Linked DNA regions of Caenorhabditis elegans. The protein of the gene in region 3 interacts with the protein of the main gene of each other region in a biochemical or structural test. Each region holds a gene or a part of one and is shown on either strand. Other genes may lie near its edges. The genes, in order: syp-4, sun-1 and plk-2.

Region 1 (6,046 bases), 4.1 Mb from region 3:
TAATGCAGTCAGAAACATATCATCCACGTCTTGATCATCATCTCCAGAAGATAAATTCATGCCGTCTCTGCGTTCTTTCATTTCTTCCTCTTGAATTTTTCGCCGGCGGTCCTCATATTTTCGTCGCGCCGCTTCCACATCTGTGCTCATTTCGGAATACTAAACGAATTTTTCTGTTCTACTTTTTAAGATACTTAAAAAAATTGAACTTGTGTATATATTTAAGTCGCATTGGATTCTACCGATTTTCCAATAAGATTTAATTGAAATACAAGAGAAATAGGTTTAATAACGGGAAAAACAAAAAATAAAATAACAAAGGTACCCAAAATCAGAAAATTTTTGGGCCAAGATCAACGTTCAAGGGGGTTTAGAAAAGATTTAGACCACAAGACGATAAGTGATATATCTTCCAGCAGTTTCCGATGGCCGAATGATTTTGACAACTTGTCCACGGCGGAGACCAAAATAACGAGCGACCGGATCACATTGTTGGATACGTGGCAACTGAGAATCCTTAAGTTTGCTGAAAATATCATATTTATAATCATGTTTTAATATGAAGACTTACTATCTAGCAAGTAGTTCTGCTTTCTCTTCGGCTGTCATGACGACATGTTCTGGTACCAACTCATGTTCTGTGATGTTTACCATGAGCTCAGCCTCTAAAAAGTGCTCCAACATGTACTTTGGGGCCATGTCGCCAATGGATTGTTTGGCGCTTGGAGTCATTCCGGTTTGTACGACAATGATAGCACGGGAGATATTCTGTTCTTGCATTTGCTGGCAGATAGCTTTAATAGTTTTGATTCCAATTTTGGCGTCCTCTGGGAAGAAAACAAACATTTGATCGGCTGGATCGTCGTTGTGAGCCACGAGAATTGTCAGATCTGAGCGAGCCGGCTTTTTTTCAGAGGGACGATCTCCGTACTGCACTTTGAATGTTTCCAATGGTTGATCTAATTCATCTTGAGCTACGAGATAACCACGATCGTGAACCATCTAAATATGAACATATTATCATGGCAAATACCAAATTTTGTTTACCTGAAGAACTGTTTTACGGATTCTCCACAATCTATAGGTCTCAAGCTCGTCGTCAGCCATTATTACTGTTAGTCTCTGCAATAAACTACTTTTAAAAAGTTTTCCGCCGACATTAAAGGTTGAAAAATAAAGAACAATTCGTCTTAGTCTCATCACAATTTTAAGTGTAACTTTGAACATATAACAACCTCTTTTAATTAATAATAAACATTGAGGTTAACAGGAAAAACATAAACTATGGTATACCAACAATTTAAATTGAATAATCAGAAGGGAGATTGCTGCAATGTCTCATATTCAAATTGGTGGGAAAGAATTGAAGGAAAAAAACATGAAAATCACTAAATTTGACAGGACAATTTTCGTTTTTCGAATAAAATTCCAATGGCTAAACAAAGCTCGTTAGCGTTATACCGGAGCATCGTTCATTGCGTCGAATGCTGCTGATTTTACGAGCAAAAATTTTGCGAACATAAGCGAACTTGAGTTTGTTTCAGAATAAATATTATTTAAATAGCTATACATTTAAAGCATTAAAGTGAAAAAGAATAAAACGCAATGAGATGATCAATACTTTATATTATGTATATTTTTGCTGTTCAAAAAGAAAAAAAAGAGGCAATTTCTTGGTCCAATAAAATCTAAAATTTCTGACATTAAACGATACAAATGATACAAGAGCTGAATAATACATGATAATTTTCTAAAAGTTAAAGAACGAGGTGCTGTTTCCGCCCGCTCCAGAAGTTGCTCCGCCTTCACCGTCACCGTCAAAGTTAAAGTTGAACGATCCATCTCCACCTCCACCAGCTGCGTTACCATTTGATGCAAATCCGAACGGATCGGATTGAGTGTTTCCCGAACCCTTTCCTTCATCCTCTCCGTCATAGTTAAGGAAATCCAGATCTCCAGTAGAACCACCATTGTTCGAACCATCATCTCCTGCTCCAATTCCGTCAAAATTAAAGTCGAAGTCTATAAAAATGGAGTTTTTTTTAATTTCACGTGTTTCATAACTTACTGCCTTCACCGCCACCTTCTCCCGCTGATGTACCCTTGCTATTCCCAAAAAAGTTAAAAGAGAAGTTATTGCTTTTGTTGGAACCGTTTTCGCTCATCACTTCTTCTTCGTCTTCTACATCTAGTTGTGCTCCCACTTGTTGATCTGCGAAATGAATAACTCAATGTTTATTGCCAAGTAAAACACTTACCATCAACAAACTGAACATCATTGTCTGCCTGCTTCTCAACGATCTCTGGTTCTTGTTCCTGGGAGAGTGCAGCCTGCTCCGTGGCTAGAATGTCCTTGAATACAGATGGTTGCTCAATTTCTTCTTGCTCACCGACTTCCATGGGACTTTCCTCGGGTACTTCCTGATCTACTTCCATTACATCCATCGATTGATCGGCATGATTTTCATGATTGCTAAGTTCTTCTTCTTCTTCTTCGGGCTCATCTAGGATTGATTCCGGTTGGGGGCTTGGAACTGCTGAAGTGTCTAACTCTTCTGCATCCCGTTGAACGACGCTGTCTTGACGAGTAGGCTGAATGGTAATTTGTGGTACCACCTCCCTTATTTCAGTGACATTTGGTGGTTCAATATGAACGCTTTCTTCAGCTGAATGTTCGATTACAGGTTCTTCGCCAACTTCCATCGGATGCTGTGTCGGAATTGGCTCTTTGGAGAAGGAAGATTTCGCGGTTTCGCTTATCTGTGGAGTGATCGAAACTTCCGAACTTTTCGAAGTTAACTGTTGTACGGCCTTTTCTGGCTTATTTGTTTTGTCCATCTGTAAATATTATTTCAGTTTGAAAAGGCAATTAGGCTTTATAAAATTTAGTTTTACATACCGACGCGAGAATAAAAGAACGATCAAACTGCATTGTTTCATCCAGACTGAGACTTCCACAAATTCGTCGATTCTCTTCCTCGTCCTTCAATGTTTCCAAACTTCTTTTCGATTTGTCTAACTTCGGCATCAAGGATTGATGGAGTTTATAGTGTTTCGCACACTCAATTACCGTCTTTTCGAACGATTTCTTTGATTCGGCTTTCACTGAAAATTTGATATATTACAAAAAATTAAGTGTATTCGATGCTTCATAACTTACATGTAGCTTTCTTGGTACGGATATCATCGGCAAGACACTTCTTCTGATCTCTGAGCCCCTCCACTACTTCTTCTAGAATTCTTTTCTCCTCTTCCATTGCACGAAGCTTATGTACGTCGGATGAATTTTCTAGATTTTTCAGAATTGAGGCACTTTTCACGATGAGCTCCTCAGTGGCCCTGGTTGTGTCCACAAGCCGCTGTTCGTTGATTTCCTGGACTCGTCGAGCCTCGGTGTTCGTCTCTTGCACGGATTTTCGTAGGTCGTCACATTCGTAATATTTCCTTTAAAAAATTGAATGGTTTACTCGAGTCAAAATAGACATTGTGTTACTTTTAATGTGAACAAACTTACTGCTGAACTGTCAGCTTCTTTTCTTGAACCTGCCGAGATAGCTCAGCAATGTGTAGACGATCTTCCATTACTGTCAGCGATGTTTGATAAGCTGATTTCAGCTTCTCCTGGAGTTTCCCACTTTTTGCCAACTCGGCGCGTCTCTCATCTAATGCATAGATTCCTTTGGCTAAATAATAAAATAGTGGAAAACGATGAACCATCGGGAATCTTACCTTCGGATACCATTTTCGTCAGCAACTTTGCCAACATTTTTCTTCCTTCCGTGTTGATCATGTTTCGCTCCACAAGTTGATTTGATTGGCGAAGAAACTGAAAGAAGAGGATTACAACTGATTGTCTGTAGATTAAAAATACCTCATGGCATCGCAGAACTTTTGGATTTTTCTCATTTGGACGTACTTGTAGCGTCGGAAACGACATTATTTCGCCTTGAAATAAAAAATTTTGATGAAAAATGAGGTTACCGTACCGAACAAAGAAACAGAAAAGTTCAGTTTTCTCCTAAAAGCAACAAACTTTTGAATGGAGATTTTTTTCGTGCCTGCACATCAAAGGTTACTGTACCTGCAATTGCTCGTAAACTTAAATGTAAAATACGCAAATTGCCATCACGTCAAAATCCGCCTCATATACACTAAACACAGTGAGTAGCGGAGACCGCAAAATGTCGGGACACCCTATCGCACTACTCCCTCCACCCGCAGGCTCATAAACTTACCTGGCTGGGGGTTATTTCGCGATCACAAAGGCGGAATCCCCATGGTTAGGCCTACCCATTGCACTTTTGGTGCGGGCTGACCTGTGTGGCAGTCTCGAGTTGAGATTCGCCAACAGCTTAATTTTTGCGTATCGGGGCTGCGTGCGCGCGGCCCTGAAAAGTGGGTCTATATGTAACACCTAGCCGATGTTCTTTTACGATATTTGGGAGATTTGAAAGTTCACTGAAGGATGGAAAAGACGCTAATATAAATTTATCAAAATTAAACGTCTCGAACTGGATGTGTCGTTTGCATAGCCTTTTCATTTGATCAAAACATCTTTATTTCTATTTTGTTCACAAAATGAGTTCATCGCCAGAACAAATGGCCGAGAATGTGAATTACCGTAGGTTTACTCATTGATTCAGCTTTTGAAGCAACTTTTACAGTATGTCTTATGGTGACTGCCACTTTAACTAGTGCAACGATGGTGCTTGGATGTACTACCGGGCATCGTGAGATGTTCCGACGAAAAGGTTCAAAGTCAAAGAAATCAATGAAATCGAAGAAATCTAAAAAATCTAAGAGAGAAAAGAAGGGTGATAATGAAGATGAAAAGGAAAATTATAAGGAAGATGGAAATGATCACAATAATGGATCTGACAGGAAAGAAGGTTCTAAAAAGAAAAAATCAAGACAGAAGAGTATGAAAAGCTCACGGAGCAAACGGAAGAAGAGACACAGTTCTGGAAGTAAACGTGGCAGTTCTAGGGACAAAAGAGATAGCTCTCGGAGCAAGAAAAATAATGTATCGGCTCATAAAATGGAGAAATCTCCAAGTAGACGTGATTTTGGAAGAGGAGGTGATAGAGATAGAGATAGAGATGGAGAATCCAGAAGAAGTAGTTATAGGGATGAAAAGAGAAGACGTGAAAATTCACATAAGTCAGCCAGATCAATGCCTGTAGAAAAAAGCAACAGCTACCGAAATTACAAGAAATACGATGACAAGGTGGAGGATCCACCACATGAGAAACGAAATTCTGATGACGTTCGTTCAGTTTATGTGGATACTGGAAAATCAACATATTCCACTGCTGTAAAGCCATCAAATGATAATCCAAAATCATATTATTCTCTTCCACCAACATCTCCTTCAAAGGAAAAACCCACAAAAAAGATTTCACGAAATTATTTGGCTGATCCATTGTCTCCGGGGGATAAGAAATCAGCAAAAATCTCAACGAAAAAGTTGATTTCTACAATAAAACCACCAAAAACGCTTTCTAAAAAATCAGCAAAATCTACGAGAAATCCATTGAAATCGCCTTCCAAAAGGTCTAATAGTGTGAGACCAGAAAAGAAAAATAAAATCATTTCGAAGAAGGCGTCCAAGAAAAATGTTGAATCGAGAAAATCAAAGAGAAAGTGAACATGTGGTTAGTTTTTCTTTTATTGTATTTTGGAAAAAGAGTTATATTTAATATCGTAAGTAGTCTCGTGAAATCACTTTAAGGACACAGGATATATGATTTTTTAAAGTGGGTCCCACCACGATCTCAGTCTCAGCCAAATTTCACGGATTCACGAAATCACGATTGCTAGAAATGGTTATATCTCGTAATTTTGTGAAAAAGAAGTACCTTCGTCTCTAGGTGTTTGGGGGAATTTTTGATTCATAAAATTTCAGTATTTGTACAGTTTAGTTGACGATGGTGTAGAGCTACTGTCAAATAATCGAATATCAGAAAAATACATTACAAAAAATTTCCAGATTTTTGTAAATTTCTATTTAGTCTAAGTTTTGTTGGTGAACTGCCAAATTAAAAAA
Region 2 (5,667 bases), on a different chromosome or scaffold from region 3:
TCAGTTAAAAGCTCTATGAATAATTCTCAAGCTAGTTCGAATATAAGACTTCGGAATGTGTCAAGTATCTCTGCTCTTGGATCGGTCGCATGATTCTTCTATTTAAATTCTCAAGAATTGGAACTATAACTTTATACCACTATACCACTAACATATGTTGTAAAGGGGACTAGTTTTAAAATCTTAAAACGTGTAGAAATGTACTTTTTAGCTTTCTAAATAAATAATATAAATCAGAAAATATATCATGCAATTCTTTTCTGGAATAAAATTTTTAATCATAAACTATTCTGACCACTGAAAAAGTATAAAAATTTCGTTCTTAATAATTTTGGTTCAAAGCAGAAAAATAATCCTCCTTTATAGGAAAAAATGGAACAATTATTTAATATTTTCAATTAATGATTGTTAATTTTTTGGGCACGTAGAAAAATCCAATATGTGAAACGTTTAATTCGGAACGTTAACGCTTGTGAAGTGTGGCGCTCCAGAGCTCAATTGGGTGGAATGTCTAGTTTCAACTTATCTACACAAAATATAACATTCAAAACAATTTTATTCAAAGTGCTACTTGATATTCATCCAATTCCTAATCTCGTCATGATCTCACATCAAAGCTGAAAATTTCATCTAGTCATGTGTTGAGTTTTTGAAATTAATTGATTTCTTGACTCCACCTGCTTTTCAGTTTTCCAAAATAATCAGCGTACTCAATTTGTTGAGTTTATGAAATCTATGTTTCTTCTACTCTACTTTTTGATATTTTTAAATGTAGTATATGGACAAGGAGATGATCCATTTTCTAATGACTTTATTAGAAGAAAGAATTTATCTGATTTAAAAGACACGGTTCTTGGAGAGGTCAGTTGGTCTAAAATCTATTTTCAAATTATAATATTGGTGAAACCTGAATTCAAAACTTTTTTCATCTTTTAAAATTTTGCAAATATCATTTCTAAACTCCAATATGTTTTAGATTGAACTTTGTTAAAATTTTGGTAAATTACCACAACTTCAGCTTTTCAAAAAATAATTCGAAAAATTTCGCTGGTATTCAGTTTTGAACCAGTTGAGCTTGAAAAAACACTAGCTGAAATGAAATAGTTGTCGCAGATTAAATGTTTAACTTGTAAGGTAGCTGGTAACATTCCACCAGAAGATAAGGATGGGCTCTATTATTTTATTATCACCTTGTTTGTTATGTCCACATTTGCATCAACTATTTTGACTGGAGTTTTCTTGGCTCTTTCTGTGATCCTTTGGAGCCATTTCAAAAAAGTAATGAAACACGTTTTACATAACTTTTTCCAAGGAATTTATTGAAAAAATTCAGATGATATTTTTCTGGTTTTTAACTCAACTGACCATTTCTGTTTTCATAATGTCTTCTTTAAACTTTTTAATTAATGTACCAGCGACATTATTTGCTTTGATAACCAAGGAATTCGTTCAATCCGGTAACTTTTTTTGAATCAATTTTGAATCATTTTTTTTGTTCAGCCTCATTCTACTACATGTCCAATGTAATCGATTTCTGTCATAATGCAATACTTTTCTCAAACTTGATAATTGCAATACATCGGATGTTTGTGTTCTTTTTCAAAAAACACACGGATATTGCTTTTGAAAAGTAGGGAATTCTGAAATTTTTGGAATTTTAATCTACTAATCCCAGACCGATAACATACTTTTGGATGGGAATGGTATGGGTATTGTCTGCTTTTGTTGTAGTGTCTATGATTATGAATAACTGCCAATATGAATATGATGAACGAATTTTAATGAAACATTATGTTTTGAGTTGTGAAACTAGTAGTGGAATTAAAAATATTGCTCCACCGACAATTGTACAAACTGTAAGCACAATAATGAAAATATCCAGTCCAATAAACACTTTCAGATTGAAATTTTAATACAATTTATTCTTCCAATATTTATTCTGGGAATATATATTGCAATTATCATTAAAATAATTTTAATGAAAAAAGCAGCACTCAACAAATACGAGCTCACTATTTTGAAACAGGCGGTTTTTATATTTTGCCTATTTCAGGTCCTGTTTGATTTAAGAACGAAAAAATGAAAAAAAAAATTTCCAGATTTCATCGTCGGTTTTCCTATTATGCCAAACTATCAAGTTTGAAATAGCAACTGCATTTTTGATAAAACGGATTATTAATACGGTTCGTTTTTTTTTTAATTTTTCCATAGCAATCTTGAAAAATTATCCGTATTGCAGACTGAAATATGCGCTGGAGCTGCAACGCCGTGCTTCTTCTTTTTCACTTCAAAAGAAATTCGGAAACTCGTTTCTGTGAGAGTTTCTCTCACTACTTCACAAGCCAATTCAAACTCACAGCAGAGAAGGCAAACTTCGAGAGCGATTTAATTTTTATTACTAAAATCAGTTTCTAAAATGTTTTTGCCAATATTAGAATAAATACTCGTGTTTTAATGAGAACAAACTCTTCGCAAAAAATTTCTGTGCCTGCCAAATCATATTTACTGCTACAGTAACTTTCAAAGGTGCAATACGTCAGCGGTGAGGGTCTCGACGCGATCTTGAGAATTGCCGCAATCAGTGCGGGGCTGCTTGAATTCGAGGTTTCGATTTTCTGGTTTTTTTTTTCATTTTTCGAATTCAGTTCGGATATTTTTTGTTTTAAGACAAATATAAAGCATTTAAAAAGTTTATGCTTTGTAAAGTGCAGTTAAACTTCAATTAATTCATAATTATTTTAATTGAAACAACTTTCTCGCTCTTGAAAATATTGCATTGTTTCTTAATTTCCAAATTACAATTCCGCACAGGCTTTTTTCATTCAATTTCTTTCTAAACTTCCAGATCTACTCGGTATGGCGTTGCGACACACCATCTCACCGCAGTTTTCGAATCGCCACAGTCCTCCAGTTACCCGTTCTGTATCTCGAACAGGAGTTCATCAGCCGCTAGACACATCTACTCCAGTTACTCGGCGAGATTCCCAACCTGGAACGATTACAGGCACCATTCAGAGATTTCATGAGTCGGCTGACGATTCTGAAATTGATCTGAACTCTTCGAAATTTATTTACAAGGAGCATTTTAGCTACAAAGAAATCACTTCGATGAAGAAGGAAATGTGGTATGACTGGCTGGAATATCGCATTCGCATGGTTCGGCGTCGTTTTGTTCCAACGTGGGCCCAGTTTAAACGTACTCTTATGGCTGTTGTTCTTTTTGCTATGTTATACAAGTGTGAGTCGGGAAAACGTGTTGTGGGTATCTAAATGAATAATTTCAGATGCTCGTGATTGTTTATTCGATGGAACGCATCATAATTCAGAAGGATCCTACGCGGATAAAGACGCGAATTGGGCGTCCGAAAAACAGAAATTTCATCAGACGGTACAATGAATGAACAGTCAGAATAAATTTTTATATTATTTAGATTTCCAATCTCCGAGCAGAGTTTTCGGCGCACGATAAACAACTCGATTTCAAAACTGACCATTTGGAAAAACTACTGGAAAACGTTTTGGAACACAGCAAAGGATGGAAAGAGTCGGCAATCGAAGAGCTCAAACAGATCAAATTATGGCAAGCAGAAATTAGCGATGCTTTGCAACAAATGAAAAAGGAAATCGATGATGCGGTAATTTTCAAATTTAATATATTTTCCCAATGCTAATTTTTCAGAAAAGCACAAAGATCATCCACAGTACACCAGAAAAGGCTCCAGAGACCGCACCAACTGCATCGCTTCCTCCCTCTAGCCAGCTTCAACCAATGCACATAACACGCCGAGCACTTCTTGGAGTGAATGTTGCCAACAGTCTTATTGGTGCATCAATCGATCATTCTTGTTCATCACGTCCAGTTTCTGCAAAAGATGGATTTTTCTACGATTTCATGTCATACTTCGGAACGTTCCAGGAGGGATATGCTTTGCTTGATCGCGACGTTCTATCCCCAGGAGAAGCGTGGTGCACATACGATAAACGTGCGACCTTGACCGTGAAGCTCGCTAGATTTGTCATACCGAAAAGTGTCTCGTATCAACATGTCAGATGGAGCGGGATTGTTCCAAATCATGCCCCGAAGCTCTACGATGTCGTGGTAAGCTATATAAAAATTGTGTTCAGTAACTAATTATATATTTTCAGGCATGCACGGACTCATGTTGCACCAAATGGCAGCCTCTTGTCGCCAACTGTGAATATAAGGAACGTGATGGAAGTTATGACGAGCAAGAACAATTCTGTTCGGTGCCAACAATTCAAAATCACTCACCGATCAATCACGTGCAATTCCGTTTCCGCGAAAATCATGGAGATATGCCAAAGACATGTGCTTATTTGATTCGTGTTTACGGGGAACCAGTCGATCCACCAAAGGAAACGCAACCAATGACGGATAATGGAACTGAATCAAAGTTGGAATCTGCAATTGTTAACTCTGTATCAGAAACCGCATAGAAACGCCGTATTATTGTTCCTGCCCAACTTGTTTTTATATCATTTTCACGTTCCCCACTGACTATGAATCTCAATATTGCTTCTTTGAAATCGTTTGCAAATGTTTTGTCCCGCTTTACTATCCACGTTACCGTTTGTATTTCATTGCTTTATTCATTTTTTATTAATGTGTCATGTTCTGTTTATTTCTTGAAAGTTCTAATCTAAAGTTTCAAAGTTTTAAATTGTGTTCTGAATTTTAAGCACGAGAGCAGCAGGGAAGTGGTGATTACAAGAGAAAACTTCGCATCTGCTAACTAGGGAATGGTGTTACCCCTGCAATCGCTAGGAGGACAAAACAAACTTTAAATGACAGATGAGGTCTTTGGCTACAAAAATCATTTTTTGGAATCTGCTTAACTCTGCCCCAAAGCTGAAATTTTCGGCCTTAAAAAGTAGTCCTCTTTTTGCTCAAAGTGCCGTTTTCGTTTTTTTGAATTTTTCCTCTAGCATGAAATATGCACAAAAACACGGTTTCTTTCGTTTTTTGGTAACTTCGGAATAAATTTTTTGGTTCCTGGGAATCATAAAAGTAATTTGGAAACTTTTTGGAAGTTTTCTTTTTTTGATAAATTTTCACTTTTTTCCCACCTGATATATGCACATTTTTTTTCTTCAAAAATAATTTTTCAAAATTTTTTCAAAAAGTGTTTGGTTTGAAAGAGCAGCATTAGTTTGGATATTTCTACGATTTTGGAGGATCAAATGTCATTTTTAGGAGAAAACCACTGTTGTTTTCTCTAGAGTTTTTCACGAAAAGGACTTACTTTCAAAGACTTCCAGCTCCGTTGACGGGTAAAATAAAAAAAAGTTGTCAACTGCAAAGTTGTTTTAAAAGTACCAATAAACAAATTGTCAATTGAATTTACTCTGCTAACTTTAGCTTTAACTTACTAACGTAAGTTAAAGCTTCACTTCGATTAGCTATATCTCTTTACCCATAAAATTTAGCAGAGTAGATTCAACTGACAATTTGTTTATTGGTACTTTTAAAACAACTTTGCAGTTGACAACTTTTTTTTATTTTACCCGTCAACGGAGCTGGAAGTCTTTGAAAGTAAGTCCTTTTCGTGAAAAACTCTAGAGAAAACAACAGTGGTTTTCTCCTAAAAATGACATTTGATCCTCCAAAATCGTAGAAATATCCAAACTAATGCTGCTCTTTCAAAC
Region 3 (6,534 bases):
AGAAACGATGAGGGGAGTGGCCGAGTGTTTGTATTTCGGCGGCCCCGCTGGAAATTTTGTATTACGGAGACGCAAACGCGCTCCACGGTCACATAAAAACGCTCCGCCTCCAAAAGTTGGGTCTCGTTAGGAATTGGCGGCAAAATCGTAATTTCGAATGTTTTAAATTATTTTTTCTACTTTTTTGTCGTGATTTTTATTCCGGAACTGAAATAAATAAATAAAAATCACGAAAAATAACAAAAAAACACATGAAAAAAATCGAAAAAGTTTAAATTTAAAGCTTTCCCGCCAAGCAGTCAACGAGGCCATTGGAGCTCGATTGCATCGTGATTTCAAAATATCTCATTTAAAATGCTCATTCTCAGCGCTTTTTTCGACATTTTTGGGCATTTTTCGAGGAAAACAAACATTTTAAATTGAAAGATCACCGAATGTAGGCCCAGGCACTCAGGCAGGCATTTTCCTATCCTTTATGACCTTCTACAGAGCCAACCTAACGTAAAGTGGTCGAAAAATAATAAGAATACCACATATTTCAAATGGAAATTGATGGAGGTCAACACAACGGACACACAGTGACAAGATAATTTGACACCAATCTCGGAACGGGGGGACCCAGAAAAGAGCCAATACATCATTTTAATTCCTTTTGTGTGGCTCAGGTGGGTGAGAGGGTTCGTTTCCGGAAGAAAAGTGGAACCGGCTGCTGTTCGGCGGTCGCATAACACTTGAGAACCCACTGAGTAACTTGAGAATAGACGGGGAAAGAAACGGGGGTAAGAGGTTCCTCTAATTGGAATAACCGTTTTGGAATTTCGAATGCTCCGTGAGCCCGCCTGAGCGAAAAGAGCTCGCCGGAAAGATATTGGGAAGTAAAGAAGTGAAGCGGAAGGAGATATTCTCGAGGTTTAGTTTAATAAATTCGCATTAAAATTTGTTAAGCACTAATAATCTCAACACTAAAATTTTGCTCGCCGCTTCAAAACTAAAAATTTAGAGTTTTTGGGATTTTGAAAATTTCTTTTTTATTGCCTAGTTGTCGAAAAATGCGATTTTCACAGTAAACAATGGTCCTGGCACGATCGAAGAAAATTTTTAAACTACCGTAGTAAAAGTTCGACACGAAATTTTTTTTTATTATAAGCAAAAAGGTGAGCCAGTGGAATTTTCATCGATTTTTCATTTTTTTTGTTTATTTTAATGAAAAATTGTTTTAATTATTTTGAAAAACCAATAAAAATTCTGCAACAACAGAAGTTTGAATCTACAGTAGTCTTTAAAGGCGCACACCTTTTTAAATTTTACAAAAATTTGTCGTGTCGAGACCAGGCAGTGTTTTTGGCGCCAAAATCGAAAAAAAACATTATTTGAAAAATAAGAATTCGATTTTCGACCTTTTTCTTAAAAATCTCGTTTTTCTCCAAAAATTGAAAAAAATCCCGTAGAAAAAGAACCATGCGCCTTTAAAGAATACTGTATTTTTAAAAATGATCCTAAAAACTACCGTAATCCTTTAAAGGAGCTAACGTTAGTAAATCGAGCCTTCGAAAACTGATAAAATTTCAATTCCCACGACGGCATCGTAATCTCTAGTGAGCGGCGGAATATATATATATATATATGGGAAATCATCATAAAACAAGTTTACACAGTTACGAGACCTCTCTGAAGGAGACACTGCGGTAAACAAAACTACGGAGGAGCACGGATTCGTATCTTTTTTGAAGAGAGAGAGTGAAGCGGGAAAGAAAAGGGCAATCCGAAAACGAGGTGAATCGGATTTGACGAAGTAGGCACATACACGACGGAAGTAAAGAACGAGAAGTGCTTGATACGATTTGAAAATAATGTTTTCTCCTCGTCTTGCTCGTAGATTTTTCTGGAAAAAAAGTTTGGAATTGAACTTAATAAATGGGGGGGGGGGGGGGGTACATGTGAATAAATTCGGGCTCCAAAATGAATTGATGAAGTGGAACATGGAGACAAATGCGATTACCCACCACCCCCCGGCTGATGAGCATGATGACACCCGAATGTTTGTTCGTTCTCTTCTAAATTAGGAAGTGACATACATAGAGAGACGAAATGAATATTTAATACGAGAGGGGGAAGGGGAAAAATAAACGTTAAAAATAAAAAAGAAAGGCAATACAAAAGGAAGGCAATTTGCTTGGATAAAATTGATTACAAACACGGACATAAAAGTGTATTGATCAGAGAAATATCAAAACCGGTAAGGGGAAATGAGCTCAATTTGTTGCAGATCGATTTTCTTAGCGACGCGAGGATGATGGATAAGCCGGCTGGATATCTGCTGCAGATTCCAAACGGACGTTGCTGGAAGTCGATGGAAGGCGTACTGCATTGGCCGCCGGTGCATTGTGTTTCGTCTCCTCTTTCGTGTGTTCCTCGACGAGTCGTTGGATCATACACTTGGCGTATTGAATTCGATGGAGGAACTTCTCCGGACATCCATTTTCAGCCAAGTGTGAAAATTTGTACGTGAACATGCGCTTGTTCTCATCGATGAAGGTGACAGCTTGCATGAGTGGACACAACACCATTTTAATGTGATCCTGAAAAAATAATAATTGTTATATTAAAATTAACGAGAACTCTTACATTGAAAAAGTTTATCTGAACAGTGCCGTTGGAGAGATGAAGCACAATTGCCGACTTTGTTCGGAACCAGACACGAAGCGTCGGAAGGCGAGCCAAATCGTCTCCTACTTTCCGAGTAACTTGCTGTCCTGCTTGCAACAAATGATCATTCATGTACGATCGGAAATACTTGAGAAGTGTCATCTTCTTCTGTAGGCCCGATGGTATTGCGCTTTCCATGTCGAAATAGTGCTCCTTCTCGGTTTTCTCAATATATGTCAGCTGGGTGCCAGCAGTGTCCAGCATGATTCTTGAATTATCGTTGAAAAGTACTCCAACCGAATTATCGCAAAGCTGATAACCGATTCCATACTTATCAGAGTAGTCAACCCATTTGGAAATCCAGAACACGGGAAGAGCTTCAGGCGATTGATACGAGTCTAGAGCGGCTTCTGCATCATCAATCTGAAAGTAAAATTTTTGCTATTTAAATTAAAAATGTCATTTCCTTACATCTGCGGTTGGCGTAGCCAATAAATCGTTGACTTGAGCGAGTAAATTCGACAAATAGCAGTCAGTCGGCTGTCGGTACGCCTCCATTCGGTGAGTTTGCTGCCGTTCAGAATTTCTCGACACGAGATGAGCCGGAATCGCAGAAAGTCCGGATCTACCAGCTTGGTGCGGACCACGCTGATCGATCGTGCCACTTGGAGACACATTTTCCTCTGCGTATTCATCATCGTTTAAGTGTGGGACCATCGTGAGGCACGAAACTGGAAGACGAGCAGGCATGAAGCCGGATTTGAAGAAGTGATCTCGGCATACAGCTCTGGCATTTGGACGGCGACTCGGCACTGGGTCAAGAAGCACACGAATGAGTTGAGATGCTGCAGCACTCGCCGATGTTGGGATGACGTAGTTGTTGTTTTTGATGCGCGAATAGGTCTCCTGAAATATGAAATATGATGAATTTTGCCGCAAAGAAATATAGGCGTGGCGTAATTTCGCAACTCTGCGGCAACGTTTTTTTCCTCATTTTTTAGTTGTTTTTTTTTTCAATAAAGTTTCTTTTTATCATCATTTTCAGATGAAAATGTTATCCAATCAAATTCTCATCAGATTGTGAGGATATTTCATGTTTTTACAACCAATTTAGCATAAAATAGGATAACGTTTCAAAAAAGGACATGAAACAATAAAATCGGAGAAACCGTGCCGCCTCATTGCTGCTTCTTTACCTCCAAACTCTTCGACTCGAATGGCGGATGGCCGAAAAGAAGAATGTAGAGAATGCAACCAATCGCCCATAAATCGACTTCAAAGGAGTGCCCGATTTTGTTCAAAACTTCAGCTGAAAAATAAATATTCGATTTTTGCAACGATTCTGCGTGAAACATACGTGCAATGTAATTTGGAGTTCCACAGAGTGTCTTCTTTCTCTCATCATTATCACAAGTTGTTGCCAACCCGAAATCGCCGATTTTCACTTGCAATTCATCATTGAGGAAGAGATTTCCGAGCTTCAAATCACGATGTACAATCTTTAAATTGTGCAAGTAGAGCACACCTTCCACGATTTGATATGTAAAGTAGCGGGCTTCAGGCTCTGTGACCGCTTTTCGTCGCTTATGCAGCTCCATCAACGATCTTCTTGGACACAATTCCAGCGTGATGTAGACGTTTGATTTATCCTGGAATTTTTTTAAAAATAATTAATTAATTAATACCTAATTAATAATGTACAAACCTCGAAGAAGTGATATAATTTCACAACATTGCGATGTTGGAGGTTCCTATGAATCTGCACTTCTTGAGCCATTTTGTCTCTCTGATACTGCTTGATAAGCAGCGCTTTCGGGACGACTTTTCCAGCAAACAGCTCGCCTGTAGACTTGTTCCGCAGCTCGTAGCAATGTGCGAATCCTCCTTTTCCCAAAAATTTGCCTTTTTCATAACGAGTCTTGCGTTCTCCATCGAGAATCACGTCTGGAACATCTGGCGGCGCCTTCTCCTTCTTCTGGGACTTTACCCTTGCTGCAGACGGCTGTACACGCTGCATCTGAAAAGTCGAAATGTACTGTGAAATTTGAAAAAGTAAGAGGAACACGAGAAAAAAAAAATGTCACACGGCGAAAAGAAATGAACAACGACGGAAAAAGGCAATTAATCTAGCACCGACCTTCACCCGGAATGCGCCGACAGCGCCAGGCTAAGAACAACGAGAACAATGATAAATTGTCAGCTGTGTTTATGGGCCATTTCAGTGATTATCATGATATATTGACGGGAAAAGGACACAAAAATTACGGAAATAGGGTTCAAATACCCTTTTCTATCCCGTTTTCTAATTTTAATATACGCGAGAATGTTCATTTTAGTGCTTTTTTCGTTTTCAGGGTTGAAAAACAACTTTTTATTATAAAATTGACGGGGTAAAGAAGGATTTATACCAGAATTCGTTGATAATATCTCGAAAAATCGATGAATTTCCCATTTTAAAACGAAAATTAGGAGAAAATCAACGAAAAACACGTGTGATTTTTCAAAAAACAAAGCTGCCCGCGCGCGGGTCTCGCAACGATCGCGCCTGGGTACGGTAGTCCGAACGATTTACGAGCCTCGAAAATTATTGATTTTTCTGAAAATCGAATTACATAATTAATTAATTTAATGATTGCAAAATGTTTCCATTGAATTTTGCAAAACATTTTGAAACACAAAATCTATAATTATCAATTCCCGTGCATGTAATTACCGGTTTAGTGGTCAACTGTGTGTCCTTCGCGTGATTTTTATCGTATTTTTGCTGTTACATAGATTTGTATCTTGTTACGACATTTTTGCGCAATGAAATATGTCATAAATATCTCAAAAAAAGGGAGTATTTTTGTGCATTTATTGACAAAATAAATTCAATAAGAGGAAAAATTAAAGATTCAGGTCCTTCTTCAGCTTGGCAATTTCCACGAGCTTCTCTTCTCTCTCCGCTTGATGTTTTCGAATATTCAAAGTGCTCATTTTCGGCTCCAGCTCTTCTTCAAGCTTATTAATGACTTTCTCGTCTGTGAAATCTGGAATCGGCCCCATATCCTTCAGGACCTGGAAATGCTAGCGGAAATAAAAATAAATAAAATAAAAATAAAAAGCACAAGCTTCAAGCTCCTTACCGCCGTAATTCCAGCCGCATATCTTTTAAAATAATCTCTGACACCAAACGCGTTCAAATGAACCGTTTCACAAGTCCCATTGAACGCATATCTCGGCCCTAGACCAGCTGACATCACCGCATCCACATCATTCACGCCAATGACGCCATCGGCTACCAAACGCCAGGTTTCTGCTAGCAAAGCGAATTGTAGACGATTCACAACGAATCCCAAAACTTCTTTCTTCAGCTTCACCGGCTCCTGCTTCACAGATCGCATGATCTCTGCAGCTCTATCTACAGTATCCTGTGAGGTCCACGGAGCAGGAACAAGCTCGGTAAGAGGAAGGAAGAGCGGAGGATTGACGGGGTGGACGATAAGACAACGTTCCCTGAATTAATGTTAATAGAAATAAGATAACAAAGAAGTCTATTTACTTATTTATCAGACCATCAGTGAACTTGGACGCTGGAATTGTTGACGTACTACTTGCAAGGATCGTTGTAGGATCCGCGATCTCATCAATAACTTTGTAGAATTGAATTCGAAAATTTAAATCTTCAAGTGCAGATTCCTGCATATAAATTGCATTCTTCATAACCTCATTCAACGATGTAGTGGTAGAAACTCGAAGGAGAGCCTCATCAGCTGATAGATTGCCTCTTTGAAGGCCATGCTCCTAAATTTTTTTTTCTTTTTCTTGTTAGTCGGAAACGCGAAATTCCGAGAATGCGTATTGCGCAACATATTTGACGCGCAAAATATAAAAATATCCCGCAGCGAA

The links.
Region 1: of the proteins of plk-2 (region 3) and syp-4, one has a biochemical effect on the other in vitro, tested with the Caenorhabditis elegans proteins (one study listed by BioGRID).
Region 2: of the proteins of plk-2 (region 3) and sun-1, one has a biochemical effect on the other in vitro, tested with the Caenorhabditis elegans proteins (one study listed by BioGRID).

The regions. Positions count from the first base shown.
Region 1 is NC_003279.8:6,845,485-6,851,530, reverse strand, and holds syp-4 (Synaptonemal complex protein 4), read right to left. Parts: upstream 4,021-6,046; 5' UTR 3,938-4,020; coding exon 3,872-3,937; intron 3,827-3,871; coding exon 3,730-3,826; intron 3,684-3,729; coding exon 3,515-3,683; intron 3,445-3,514; coding exon 3,161-3,444; intron 3,106-3,160; coding exon 2,900-3,105; intron 2,839-2,899; coding exon 2,259-2,838; intron 2,213-2,258; coding exon 2,069-2,212; intron 2,023-2,068; coding exon 1,751-2,022; 3' UTR 1,608-1,750; downstream 1-1,607. Other genes in the region: sacy-1 (RNA helicase), read right to left, coding at 1-150; rpb-5 (DNA-directed RNA polymerases I, II, and III subunit RPABC1), read right to left, coding at 382-526, 572-1,002, 1,048-1,107; H27M09.5 (uncharacterized protein), read left to right, coding at 4,579-4,621, 4,665-5,647.
Region 2 is NC_003283.11:13,190,717-13,196,383, reverse strand, and holds sun-1 (Sun domain-containing protein 1), read left to right. Parts: upstream 1-2,845; 5' UTR 2,846-2,856; coding exon 2,857-3,238; intron 3,239-3,284; coding exon 3,285-3,388; intron 3,389-3,431; coding exon 3,432-3,635; intron 3,636-3,679; coding exon 3,680-4,099; intron 4,100-4,146; coding exon 4,147-4,458; 3' UTR 4,459-4,682; downstream 4,683-5,667. Other genes in the region: F57B1.9 (G-protein coupled receptors family 1 profile domain-containing protein), read left to right, coding at 1-93; F57B1.1 (G-protein coupled receptors family 1 profile domain-containing protein), read left to right, coding at 736-861, 1,135-1,278, 1,334-1,457, 1,501-1,630, 1,676-1,856, 1,901-2,053, 2,100-2,183, 2,240-2,389. UniProt on the Caenorhabditis elegans protein: Involved in centrosome attachment to the nucleus. Required for zyg-12 localization to the nuclear envelope. Together with pot-1, it is required to anchor telomeres to the nuclear envelope in embryos.
Region 3 is NC_003279.8:2,753,542-2,760,075, forward strand, and holds plk-2 (Serine/threonine-protein kinase plk-2), read right to left. Parts: upstream 4,664-6,534; coding exon 4,352-4,663; intron 4,296-4,351; coding exon 4,004-4,295; intron 3,956-4,003; coding exon 3,843-3,955; intron 3,553-3,842; coding exon 3,118-3,552; intron 3,070-3,117; coding exon 2,626-3,069; intron 2,580-2,625; coding exon 2,277-2,579; 3' UTR 2,084-2,276; downstream 1-2,083. Other genes in the region: Y71F9B.9 (3-hydroxyacyl-CoA dehydrogenase), read right to left, coding at 5,533-5,703, 5,772-6,141, 6,188-6,429. UniProt on the Caenorhabditis elegans protein: Serine/threonine-protein kinase which plays a role, during oogenesis, in chromosome pairing and synapsis, by facilitating the recruitment and attachment of meiotic chromosomes to the nuclear envelope during prophase.